2 linked regions of the Canis lupus familiaris genome follow. The protein of the gene in region 1 purifies or fractionates together with the protein of each later gene. This does not show direct contact. Links are inferred from orthologs where the notes say so. Each region holds a gene or a part of one and is shown on either strand. Other genes may lie near its edges.

Region 1 (4,718 bases):
CTGGTTAGGGGTGCAGTGGAAGTCTGGGGGTCCGAGCAACATCTGGGAGTGGTGGGGGGCCTGAGATGTAGTGGGGGGTTCGGAGGTCAGATGGGATGGAACTGGGGTGTTGGCTTGGGGGGATAATAGTGGCTGGGCCAGGGAGGGGTGAAAGACTGTTGAGGGGGCAGGGGGAGGCTGTAGGGTCTAGTCAGGGGTCCGGGATGAGCGGCAAGGGGAAAACAGGAGCTGAGGTTGGGGTCGGGATGGAAGGGGACGGTGGTTGTAGGAAGGTGGGGGGGGGGGGATGAGGGCCAGCGGGGCTGGGGGCCACGCCTCTCTTACATGTCCACGTCGTCGTAGTCATCGTCAGATTCCGACAGGTGCCTCCTGAGGAGTGACACCCATGACCATCGGTGGTTCCCCCCACAAAACCCAGACCCCTCCCCGCCACACCGAGGGTCCCTGACCTGGGACTGCTGCTCCGGAAGTCTCCGGGGGGCTGTAAGTGGGCCTGCAGGATAGCAAAGGGTCAGCAGTGCCCAAGGGGAGGGGAGGGCATCTGGGGCCAGCAGAGGGAGGCACCTCACCGTGTGGGTTATGGGTCTGGACTCCATTGCTCTGAGCTTCCGGAACTCCATGTGCCGCCCTGGAAGGGAGGAGGGTGACGCAGTGAGCAGAGGCAATGGGTCTGGGAAAAGAGGAGCCTTTGGGGGGCCCGGGGTCAGGATCTTAGGACCGAGGCTGTCCCCCAGGGGGAAGGATCTTGGTTTGCAGGGGTCTCATCTGGGGGTCAGGGTTTGGGATCAGGGAGGTGGGGGCTCAAAGTTACATAGTGTTTGTCTTCATGGTTCCATCCTGGGGGTGTGACAGAGATTTCTGAGATCTCTTTGGGGGTCCTGGTGTTATGGGAAGTCTCACGGGGTCTGTTTGCAGGTCAGAGAAGTGGGGGGGGTTCTCTATAGCCATTTTGAAGTTCAGGTGAGGATGAGGTTTTCTGGAGTCTCTTGCAGGGTCAGATAGTGAGTGACAAGGGTCTCTGAGGGTCTGTGTGGAAGTGACGCGGGTCTCGGGGCTCTATCGTGAGATCAGATGGTGCTGAGCGTCTCTGGGAGAATCACTGGGGGTGGAGTGCGTCTCTTGGATCTAGTTTATGGTCAAGGATCTCCAAGCTTAAGGAATCTCTACTCACGACAGCAATCGGCATCTGGGATCCCTAGAGAGCTGGATCGGTGGGTGGACCGGATTCGCCGGGGGACGGCAGGGGGCACCTGGGCAGAGCAGCAGCGGCATCAGGCCACGGCCCCCTGGCACCCCTACCACCCTGTGAGCCCAGCTGGGAGCCCGTAGCCCTGTGCCAAGCCCCCCTACACCCCTCCCCTTTTTCCTTTTAAGAGAAGCAGCAGGAAAGCACTCCAGGCTGTGGGGGGAGGGGGGGCGGTTACAGCTTGAGCAGGGGCTGGGAGGTTCCCCCGCCTTCTCGGCCAGGGCACCCTCACCTCAGGCTCCTCATCTTCAATCTCGACCACAGAGGCCCCCTTCCCTGGATTCCTCAGTTTGTCAAGAAGATCTAGGATCAGGCCTCTATGTAGCCTGGGCTGGGATACCAGCTGATGCTAGAGAGGAGAGGAGGGGGCTGGTGTTGGGGAGAGGCTGGGACAGGGGCTCAAGGACCTGGTGGGGAAGGTGCCCACTGAGGGAGAGGCAGGGAACTCTGGGGAATGGAAACTAGGGGATTTTAAGGGGTTGGAACGGATTAGAAGAATCTGGGGTTCCCAGCAAGGGCAAATGGAGAACTTTGAGGTGTCTTAGAGGAGACGGGGCTTCCCCAGGATTTCAGAGCGTACCCAGGAATGGGTCTGGAGACCCTGGGAAATTTTTGAGTTTTAACAGCTCGGGGTATCTTGGCCAAAGGTCTGGGGTACAATTTGGAGAGTCTTGGGGAGTTCCTGGGGAATTCTGGGCAGAGGGCGGGGAGTTTGGGAAGGGCCTTTCAGGGAAAGGAGGGGAGGTTTACACTGAGCATCTTGGTGGCACAGGGTCGTTTCTTGGGGTTCTTAGTGAGGGTGACTTTGACAAAGTTGTGGAAGGCAGCCGACCTTGGGAGGAAGAAGCCAAATCCTAGGTGAGGAGACCAGAAACTCTCCCAGCAGACAGACCCTCCATCCTGGCTCTGCCCTCCCTTGCCCTGTCCTACCATTTGCCTTTTTCTTTTAGCCTGGGAGGCTGGTAGCCACTCTTCGTCATGAGGAAGAGAACTCTAGAAGAGTAAGGAGAGAACATGGTGTTCAGACTCCCAACAGGGGTCAGACCTCACGGCTTGAGGGGTCCCCAATAGCACTGAGGTCAGCAGAGAGCCAAGCAAGGGACAGAACAAGAATGAGGTTTAGGTTTTACAAGGCCCTGGGATGCCATTTCTGGGGAGCACACAACAGAGCTGCAGCAACCTCCACGGGAGGCTCCAGATCAGGAATCCTGCCTTGGGGGTTCCCACTGGGGGGGCCTGAAGAAAAGGCTTTCTGGGTTGAGAGGTTCTTTGCAGGGAGGGTCTCAGATTTCGCTGTGAGGACGGGGTGTCTCCTGGAGGGGGCCTCGAAGTGAGGGAAGCAGGTGGGGGCAGGGGGTGCTCTGGGTCAGGGCTGGGCAGGTCTCTGGGCCCAGCGGGGGGGCTCGTCAGGCCCGCCTACCTGAGAGGGTGCACGTCAAAGAGCGGTGGTTGTAGCTCCGCTAGTTCAATGGCCGTGATGCCCAGGGACCAGATGTCACACAGCTCGTTGTATCCCCCCTTCAAGGCCACAGCCGCCACTTCTGGAGCCATCCTGGGGACAGAGACCCTCAGCGAGCCAGAGGTGACACAAGGAGGGGAAGGGGGCGACTCCTTGGCGTGCAGGTGGGGGCAGGAGGGAGAGAGAGAGAGGAGGAGGGGACAGAGAGCGAACCAGATGCTGAGAGAAACATCAAGGTGAAGAGAGAGACAGCAATAAGGACAGACACACGGGGACGCCTGGGTGGCTCCGTGGTTGAGCAGCTGCCTTTGGCTCAGGGTGTGATCCCCGGTTTGGGGATCAAGTCCCGGATTGGGCTCCCCACAGGTAGCCTGCTTCTCCCTCCGCCGGTGTCTCTGCCCCCCCCCCTCTGTATTTCTCATGAATAAATAAATAAAATTTTTAAAAAAGACACACAGAGGTCAAGAGACAGAAAATCAGAATAAAAACCAACACAAAGAGACCTCGGTAAATGTAATACTTGAGAGAGAGCCAAAAAGTGAGCAGAATATTCAACAGAGAGGCAGACACAGGGAAAGGAGCTGGGAAGGAGAGTCCTGGTGACCCAGGTGGGGACGGCCACTGCCCCCATGCACCCCTAGCTGCCCACCGGGCATCCCTCACCAGTAGGGCGTCCCGATGAAAGAGAGGCGTCGAGCCAGCGTTGCCCCAATCTGGGCCGAGATACCAAAGTCGGCTAGAGGCAGAGAGAGATATAGTGACCTGGGGCCCCCACCCCCTTGGCCCCCAGCCAGTCCCCTCCCACCCCCCATCACACTTACCCAGTCTGACCTCCCCAGCATCATTGATGAGGATGTTGGCTCCCTGGAGAAAGAGGGGGAAATCAGAAGCTTGTCAGAGACACCCCCAGCCTGACGCTGCCTCCACACCCTGGCCCTTCCCAACCCCACAGCTCAACACCACCCTGAATCCTGCAAACACTACTTCCACCTCCTGCCCCCCCCCCAACAAAGCCACTTTGCTGCCCCAGACCACCTTGATGTCCCGATGTATCTTCTTCTGTGAGTGCAGATAGGCAAGTCCCTAGGGGAGAGGGTGGACATGGGGTGCTGTGAGTCCCCAGGGGCTGGAGCAGGACCCCGCCCCAGGCCCACCGGGTCTCGCCTCACCTGGAGCACTTCCCGGCAGACATAGCTAATCTGGAGCTCTGACAGGGGGCCTGTCACTGCAAAGATCACAGCAGTAGTGTTGGGTGGGAAACAGGCAACCTGGCTCCCCCACACACAGGCTGAGAAGGTGCCACACGGGGACAGGGAACAGATGGGACAAGTGCAAGGGGGAGATGGAGGGACAGTCAGCGACCAAGGCAGGGTACCAGAGGGAGAGAGATTCACTCAACAGATATTCACAGTGTCTACTGGGTGCCAGGCACTGCTGTGGGCACTGGGGAGGTAGCCGTGGACAAGAGACAGCGGTCTCTGCCCGCATGGAGAGAACATTCCAGTCGGGGCAACAGACGGTAAACAAGACAACTAAAGCAGAGGGCATAAGATGCTAATAAATAGTAAGAACTAAAACAGCAAGAAACAACAACAGGAAATATGTGTGGGAAGGGGTATGACATTTTATAGGGTGGTCGGTGAAGTCTACTCTACTCGGAGAAGGCAGCAGCAAGAAGATGTAATGAGTCTGGCCTGGAGGGGAACAGAAAAGCCAGTGCAAAGGCCCAGAGGTGGAGACGGCCTGGTGGGTTTGGAAAGCAGCGAAGTGGGTGGAGAGGAGTGGGGGTGGGGGAGAAAGTGGAAGGAGGTGAAGTCTGTCAGCTGGGGTGCAAGTGGGGTCCGCACTGGGGAGCTCGGGCTTGTCTTTGGAGGGAAATGGAAGCCACAGGACTGTTCTGGGCAGGGGGCAATGGGACTTGGCCAAATGAGGAAAAGTTGGGGGTCACAGACACTGACACACACACACACACACACACACACACACACACAGATAATGAGAGACAGAAACGGG
Region 2 (5,503 bases), on another chromosome or scaffold:
CAAACAATAATTTTTGAATATGATCAAATATCTAGTCATAGTTCAAATTTCAAATTGTCTCATAAAATTATACATTTTTTATTGTGGTAAAAAATATATATGACATTAAGTTTACCATTTTAACCATTTTTAAGGATACAGTTCAGTGGTATTAGGTACATTCACATTGTTGTGCAACCATTGCCACCATCCATCTCGAGAACTTTTTCATCTTCCCAAAGCCATGTGAGTTGTGAGATACCTATCGGATCATTAAGTGGAGTTTCCAGGAGGTAGTCAGAAGAACCAGAAGCTTAGGTGAGCTCTGGGCCAGAGATATGAGATTACCTAAGGAGAAAGTGTAAGAAGGAAGAGGAGAGAGCAAAGGACAGAGCCACCAGCATTTTAGTAAATGTCTAGGTGGTGCAGGACACTAAGAGTGTTAGTGCAGTGGGAAGAAAACCAGGTCACTGTGGTAACACAGAAGCTCTATTGGGTTGCTAGAGCTGTATAATAAAATACCATAGACTCTGTGACTTCAACAGCATAAACTTAATTTCTCAGCTCAGGAGGCTGGAAGTCCAAGATCGAGGTGTTTGCTTTCTCCCACGTCCTCTCTTTGTCTTGTGGAAGGCTGCTACCCATGGCCTTTCCTCTGTGTACCTATGATTTCCTAGGGATCTCTCCCTCTTCTTGTAAGGACACTCTTTCATATGGGATTAGGGCCCCACATGCTTATGAATTAATTTCACCTTAATTACCTCTTTAAATGGCTCTTGGTCCAAAACGTCACATTGGGGGCTTCAACATATGAATTTCGGGGAACACAATTCCATCCAGATCAGAAGCCTAAAGAAAAAAAAAGTGTGTCTAGAAGAAGGGGCAAACTGTGTCAAATGCTGCTGAGAAGCTGAGGAAGATAATGGGGCATCCGGGTGGCTCAGTGGTTGAGTGTCTGTCTGTCTTTGGCTCAGGTGGTGATCCCTAGGTCCTGGGATCCAGTCCCACGTCAGGCTCCCCACAGGGAGCCTGATTCTCCCTCTACCTCTCTCTCTCTGTGTCTCTCATGAGTAAATAAATAAAATCTTAAGAAAAAAAAAAGAAGTTGAGGAAGATAATTGTGGTTCATGCGCTTTGGCATAAAAAAGTCATTGTACCCTTTGCTAGAGTCTTTTCAGAAAAGGAAAGATGTTAGGTAACAAAGTGGAGACATGTAATCTTTTCAAGTTTTGCTGTGAGAACTGAAAACCGGCGTGGTAGGAGGAGAAAAGCAGGGGTCACAGAATAATAAAAAAAGAAATAAGGGACATTAGAACAGCTTTGCAAATTGAAGGGAATGATCCAGAAGAAAGAAATCTGTGATGTAGGAAATTAAAAAAAGGATAAGGGGCGTGTCCCTGGGTGGCTCAGCGGTTTGGCGCTGCCTTCAGCCTAGGGTGTGATCCTGGAATCCCGGAATCGGGTCCCACATCGTGCTCCCTGCATGGGGCCTGCTTCTCCTTCTGCCTGTGTCTCTGCAGCTCTGTGTGTCTCTCATGGATAAATAAATATTTAAAAAAAAAAAGGATAATAACGAGGCTAGAATCCCTGAAAAGACTAAGATGATGAAATTCACTGCAAAAGTGGAGGGGTTGGCCATCTTTAGATGGCTGGGTTGTGTCCCCCACTAACGGGAGTGAAGGTGGAATACAGCAACCATTATGTAATTTGCAGAGCCCAGTACAAAACGTGCTGTTTCTTGTTCAAAAATTTAGATTTTCAGGACTGCATCAGAAGAACATTAAAGCCAAGCACGGAGCCCTTCCAAGACGGACGCCCGCGCGACCGTACGGTTTGTAATCCCACGAAGCTGGTTCTGGCGAGTATGCTGTGACGACGGAGGTAGGCTGTCCTTTGGGCCAGCCCCGGCTCCCTTCTGGGCCTGCACTGCCTCATGGTAGCGCTGGAGAAGAAGACGAGGGACACGTTCAGCCCCGCCCTTCTACAGGCTGGTAAGTCACTCTCAAGGAGGAGGCGCAGAGTTTGTCCCTTTTTAACTTCGAACCCGCCAGATTTGTAGCTCAGGGTTTTCTGGAAGGCTCCAAAGCATCTGGTGACCATAGCAACTCACGCCAAACTCCGGATCCCTTAGCTCCGCCCACCGCTTCCTGAACGGGTCCGTCGATTGGCTCAGCGGGCGGACCAATCGTGGGAGACGCGGGCTGTTTGCCGCGCGGTCAATGGTCGCGGGCCAGGAGGGAGGCGGGAAGAGAGGGCGGGAGGGCGGGACCGGCCGCGCGGCGCGTGCGTGTTTCCGGCTCCGCTGCGGAAGGCGGACGGCTGGAGCGGTTGGGCCGGACGCGACTCTAAGGAGCCGGGAGAACGCGGGACGCGAGCGCGGAGCTGGGCCCTCGGAGTGTGGCGAGAGGCCGGCGCGATGGGCGGAGAGCAGGAGGAGGAGCGGTTCGACGGCATGTTGCTGGCCATGGCGCAGCAGCACGAGGGCGGCGTGCAGGAGGTAACGGCCCGCGCGGCGTCGGCCTGGCCTGCTCCTACGGCGCTCGCCCGCCCGCGCGGCGCTGGCACGCTCCCTCCGCTTCCCTACCCTCGGGGGCCGAGATCCACCTCTGGGCCTCGCGGGTTCCTGGGATCCGCCTCCATCTCTGCGCGCCCCCAGCTTCCGGTCTGGCCTCCCCGCCGCCCTTAAGGCCTCAGTCGTTTCTGTGCTGGGCCCCCCGGCGCCACTCAGGAGTTCCTGTCTTAGCAACTCCTGCGTCTCCGAACGCGGCCCTGGAAAACCCGCAGCGCCCCCCTTATCCCGTCCCCCCCGCTCTCACACATGCTTCCGGCCTCGTATCCCTACTGATGGCCGCCCCCGAAGAGCAGTTCTTAGGATGAACCATCCCAGACTTTGGCATTTGCATCTACCAAGACCTGGACCGAGCTGACGAATGCTTGTGGGGGGGTGCGGGGGTGGGGCGGGGCGGAGTGATGTTAACACGTGGTCCTTTCAGGCCTAGAATGGGGAATAGGAAGCCTGGGTTCACCATTTATCTCCACCACCTACCAGTAAGGGGCCTTTCCATATCAGCAAGCCTCAGTTCCTTTTGTCTTTGAGGCAGCCACAAGTCTCTTCTGAGTAGTGAGGAGAGTAGTGTCTTGAAGTAAAGGACAGTAAGGAATTCACAATAAGCAGGTTTGTTCATTCAACAAATATTTGTTGAGTGATGTGTGTCAGATGCTCACCGGATTGGGTCCTGGGTGTATATGTGAGCAGAAGTCTATCCTTGCCCTGATGGAGCTTGGAAAGGCCCTTTCAAAAGCACAGTTCATGCGTACTGACCACACATAACACAAAGACGTACTGGTATAGATGCTGGAGTTGGTGTTTTGGACCAAAACCATGGAAAGTTAGAAGTAGAAAAGCCTATCAGGATCAGTTCCAAAACTCTAATTCTGAAGAGAAACTGAAGGAACTTGCCTCAGATCACCCAGCAGGTTCCTGAATTAGGACCAGATTCCTTAGGCCAGTGTGCTGGTTCTGTGTCTCACTGGGAGCAAGTTTTCTTTGAGCTTTCCATTCCCATTCTTTTAGCTGGGCACCGGTGGAGACCAAGGACTCTCAAGCCCTTTGAGGTGGGAAGAGTTACTACTTTGCTTTTGTGTAAAGTTTCCCTCTCCCATCCTCCTAAATTGTTGATCCCAAATAGGATTCGGAGTGAGTTCATTTTTGAATGAATCAAAAAATTATCTAGAAGTAGAAACTCAAACCATGAAGATAAAGTCTAGCATCAGAGTTAGAACCACTCATTTGGGCAAGTAAAAGGGCTTGTATATGCTAACTCTAGAACACCACTAGATCATTTCATTCAGCAGAAGATTTACTGAGCATATACACTGAGCCAGATCTGATGCCAGGCTTTGGGGATGTAGACAGAATAAGCCACAATTCATGGTACCTATGTGTGAATCGTTCACTCTGGCAGGAGGTCTCTTGCTCTGGGCCAGACATTGCTAAGGCCCTCACCTCCATTATCTCATTTAATTCTCACAAGATCCCTAGAAATAGGCTGGCTGCTATTTCTCTTTTAGAGTTAAGAAACTTCCCTAAGGTGACAGCTAATATATTATCAGTCTGATAATCAAACCCATGTGCTTAATTAACCACTTGGATACTTTACTGTACCAGCCAGAGTTAGTTGGTTTTAACCTTTGAAGTGGCTCCCCTCTTTCTGGCTCTGCCCTAGTAACTCAGCCATTGCCAGTCTGGATGGACTTTTCACTGTCTGGAAGGAAAGCTGGGCCTAGGTGTTTTAAGCCCTGGTTGCAGAGGAGTGTTCTGTATCTTTAGGCTGTTTCTAGAGCCACAAGGAATGTGAAACACAGGCACACATACACAGGAGATGGAAATCTGCCTTTCAGGCCACCTAAATCAGGTTAGGTTAGGCCTCCTAGTGGAGGTGACTAAAGTAGAGCCTGCTGGGGAGCCTGTCTTGTCCAATGAGAGGCTTAGGAGGAAACTACCAAGTTTCTGACTCCCTCCTGGACTAGGATCTGGTTTCTGGGCAGCTGAGGGCTCCCTGGGGGCATCTCCACAGCTTCAGTCTTCTCTGTTTTCCAGCTTGTGAACACTTTCTTCAGCTTCCTTCGACGCAAAACAGATTTTTTTGTTGGAGGAGAAGAGGGGATGGCAGAGAAGGTGAGTGTTGGGGCCTGCTGTCCCTTTGGAACCTGTTTCTTCATAAGGAAAGCACATGTAATCTTCCTTTGGCATTATAACAACCTTCAGTAAAAGTAAAATGCCAAGGGTAAAGAGTCAGGGAAAGGAAGCAAGCTGTCATGTATTGAAGCCCCTCTCCTTGCCAGGTACTTTATCTACTCCTATTTCCTGTGATCCTTTAGCAGCTTGAGAAGGCCAGGTGTTACTATTCCCATTTTGCAAATGAAATTGGCTCAAGGGGTGTTTGGCACTTTGTCCAAAGTCCTTTTTTTTTTTTAAGCTTTATTATTTGAGAGAGCGAGAGAGGGCGAGAGCATGTGCATTCATGCATGCACATGAGCTGGGTAGGAAGGGTAGAGGGAAAGGGAGTCTTGAGCAGAATGTGGAGCTTGACTTGACGCCAGGTTTGATCTCACAACCCTGAGATCACAACCTGAGCTGAAACCAAGAGTGGATACTTAACCAACTGTGCCACTCAGGGAGTAGGATTTTGTGTAAGATCTTGAGCTGAATTGTAGAAGAACCAGGGTTCAAACCAGAGTCTGTTGTCAAACTACCTTCTGCCCGACACCATGCTTCCTGGTTCCTTTTCCATTGAGGAAGTTTTATCTAATTACCTAGCTGGAGATGAGAGTGGAAATTGAGAGTGGAAATACAGGAAAACTTAAAATCATTTAATCCCAGTCTTCCCAGATACTGTGACCCAAAGTTCATAGATTTGGGGATTGCGTTTTGTGCTACAGGCTCTGAGACCTTGAACTTCCTTTTGATTCGTTAGGTTTTAATTATATTTTTGAAGATTGGTAAGTCATGAAAATGTTACCT

What was found. The genes of interacting proteins can lie anywhere in the genome.
Region 2: the proteins of MAP4K1 (region 1) and NUDC purify together in Homo sapiens (affinity purification with mass spectrometry; 3 studies listed by BioGRID and IntAct, with this or other methods). This does not show direct contact. The link is inferred for Canis lupus familiaris from reciprocal best matches to the Homo sapiens genes MAP4K1 and NUDC.

What each region holds. Positions count from the first base shown.
Region 1 is NC_049222.1:115,278,358-115,283,075, reverse strand, and holds part of MAP4K1 (mitogen-activated protein kinase kinase kinase kinase 1), read right to left. Parts: intron 3,931-4,718; coding exon 3,875-3,930; intron 3,789-3,874; coding exon 3,741-3,788; intron 3,570-3,740; coding exon 3,527-3,569; intron 3,442-3,526; coding exon 3,369-3,441; intron 2,799-3,368; coding exon 2,667-2,798; intron 2,240-2,666; coding exon 2,177-2,239; intron 2,079-2,176; coding exon 1,997-2,078; intron 1,596-1,996; coding exon 1,479-1,595; intron 1,251-1,478; coding exon 1,172-1,250; intron 629-1,171; coding exon 570-628; intron 494-569; coding exon 450-493; intron 370-449; coding exon 325-369; intron 1-324. UniProt on the Homo sapiens protein: Serine/threonine-protein kinase, which plays a role in the response to environmental stress. Appears to act upstream of the JUN N-terminal pathway.
Region 2 is NC_049223.1:72,615,945-72,621,447, reverse strand, and holds the start of NUDC (nuclear migration protein nudC), read left to right. Parts: upstream 1-2,263; 5' UTR 2,264-2,395; coding exon 2,396-2,476; intron 2,477-4,579; coding exon 4,580-4,657; intron 4,658-5,503. UniProt on the Homo sapiens protein: Plays a role in neurogenesis and neuronal migration. Necessary for correct formation of mitotic spindles and chromosome separation during mitosis. Necessary for cytokinesis and cell proliferation.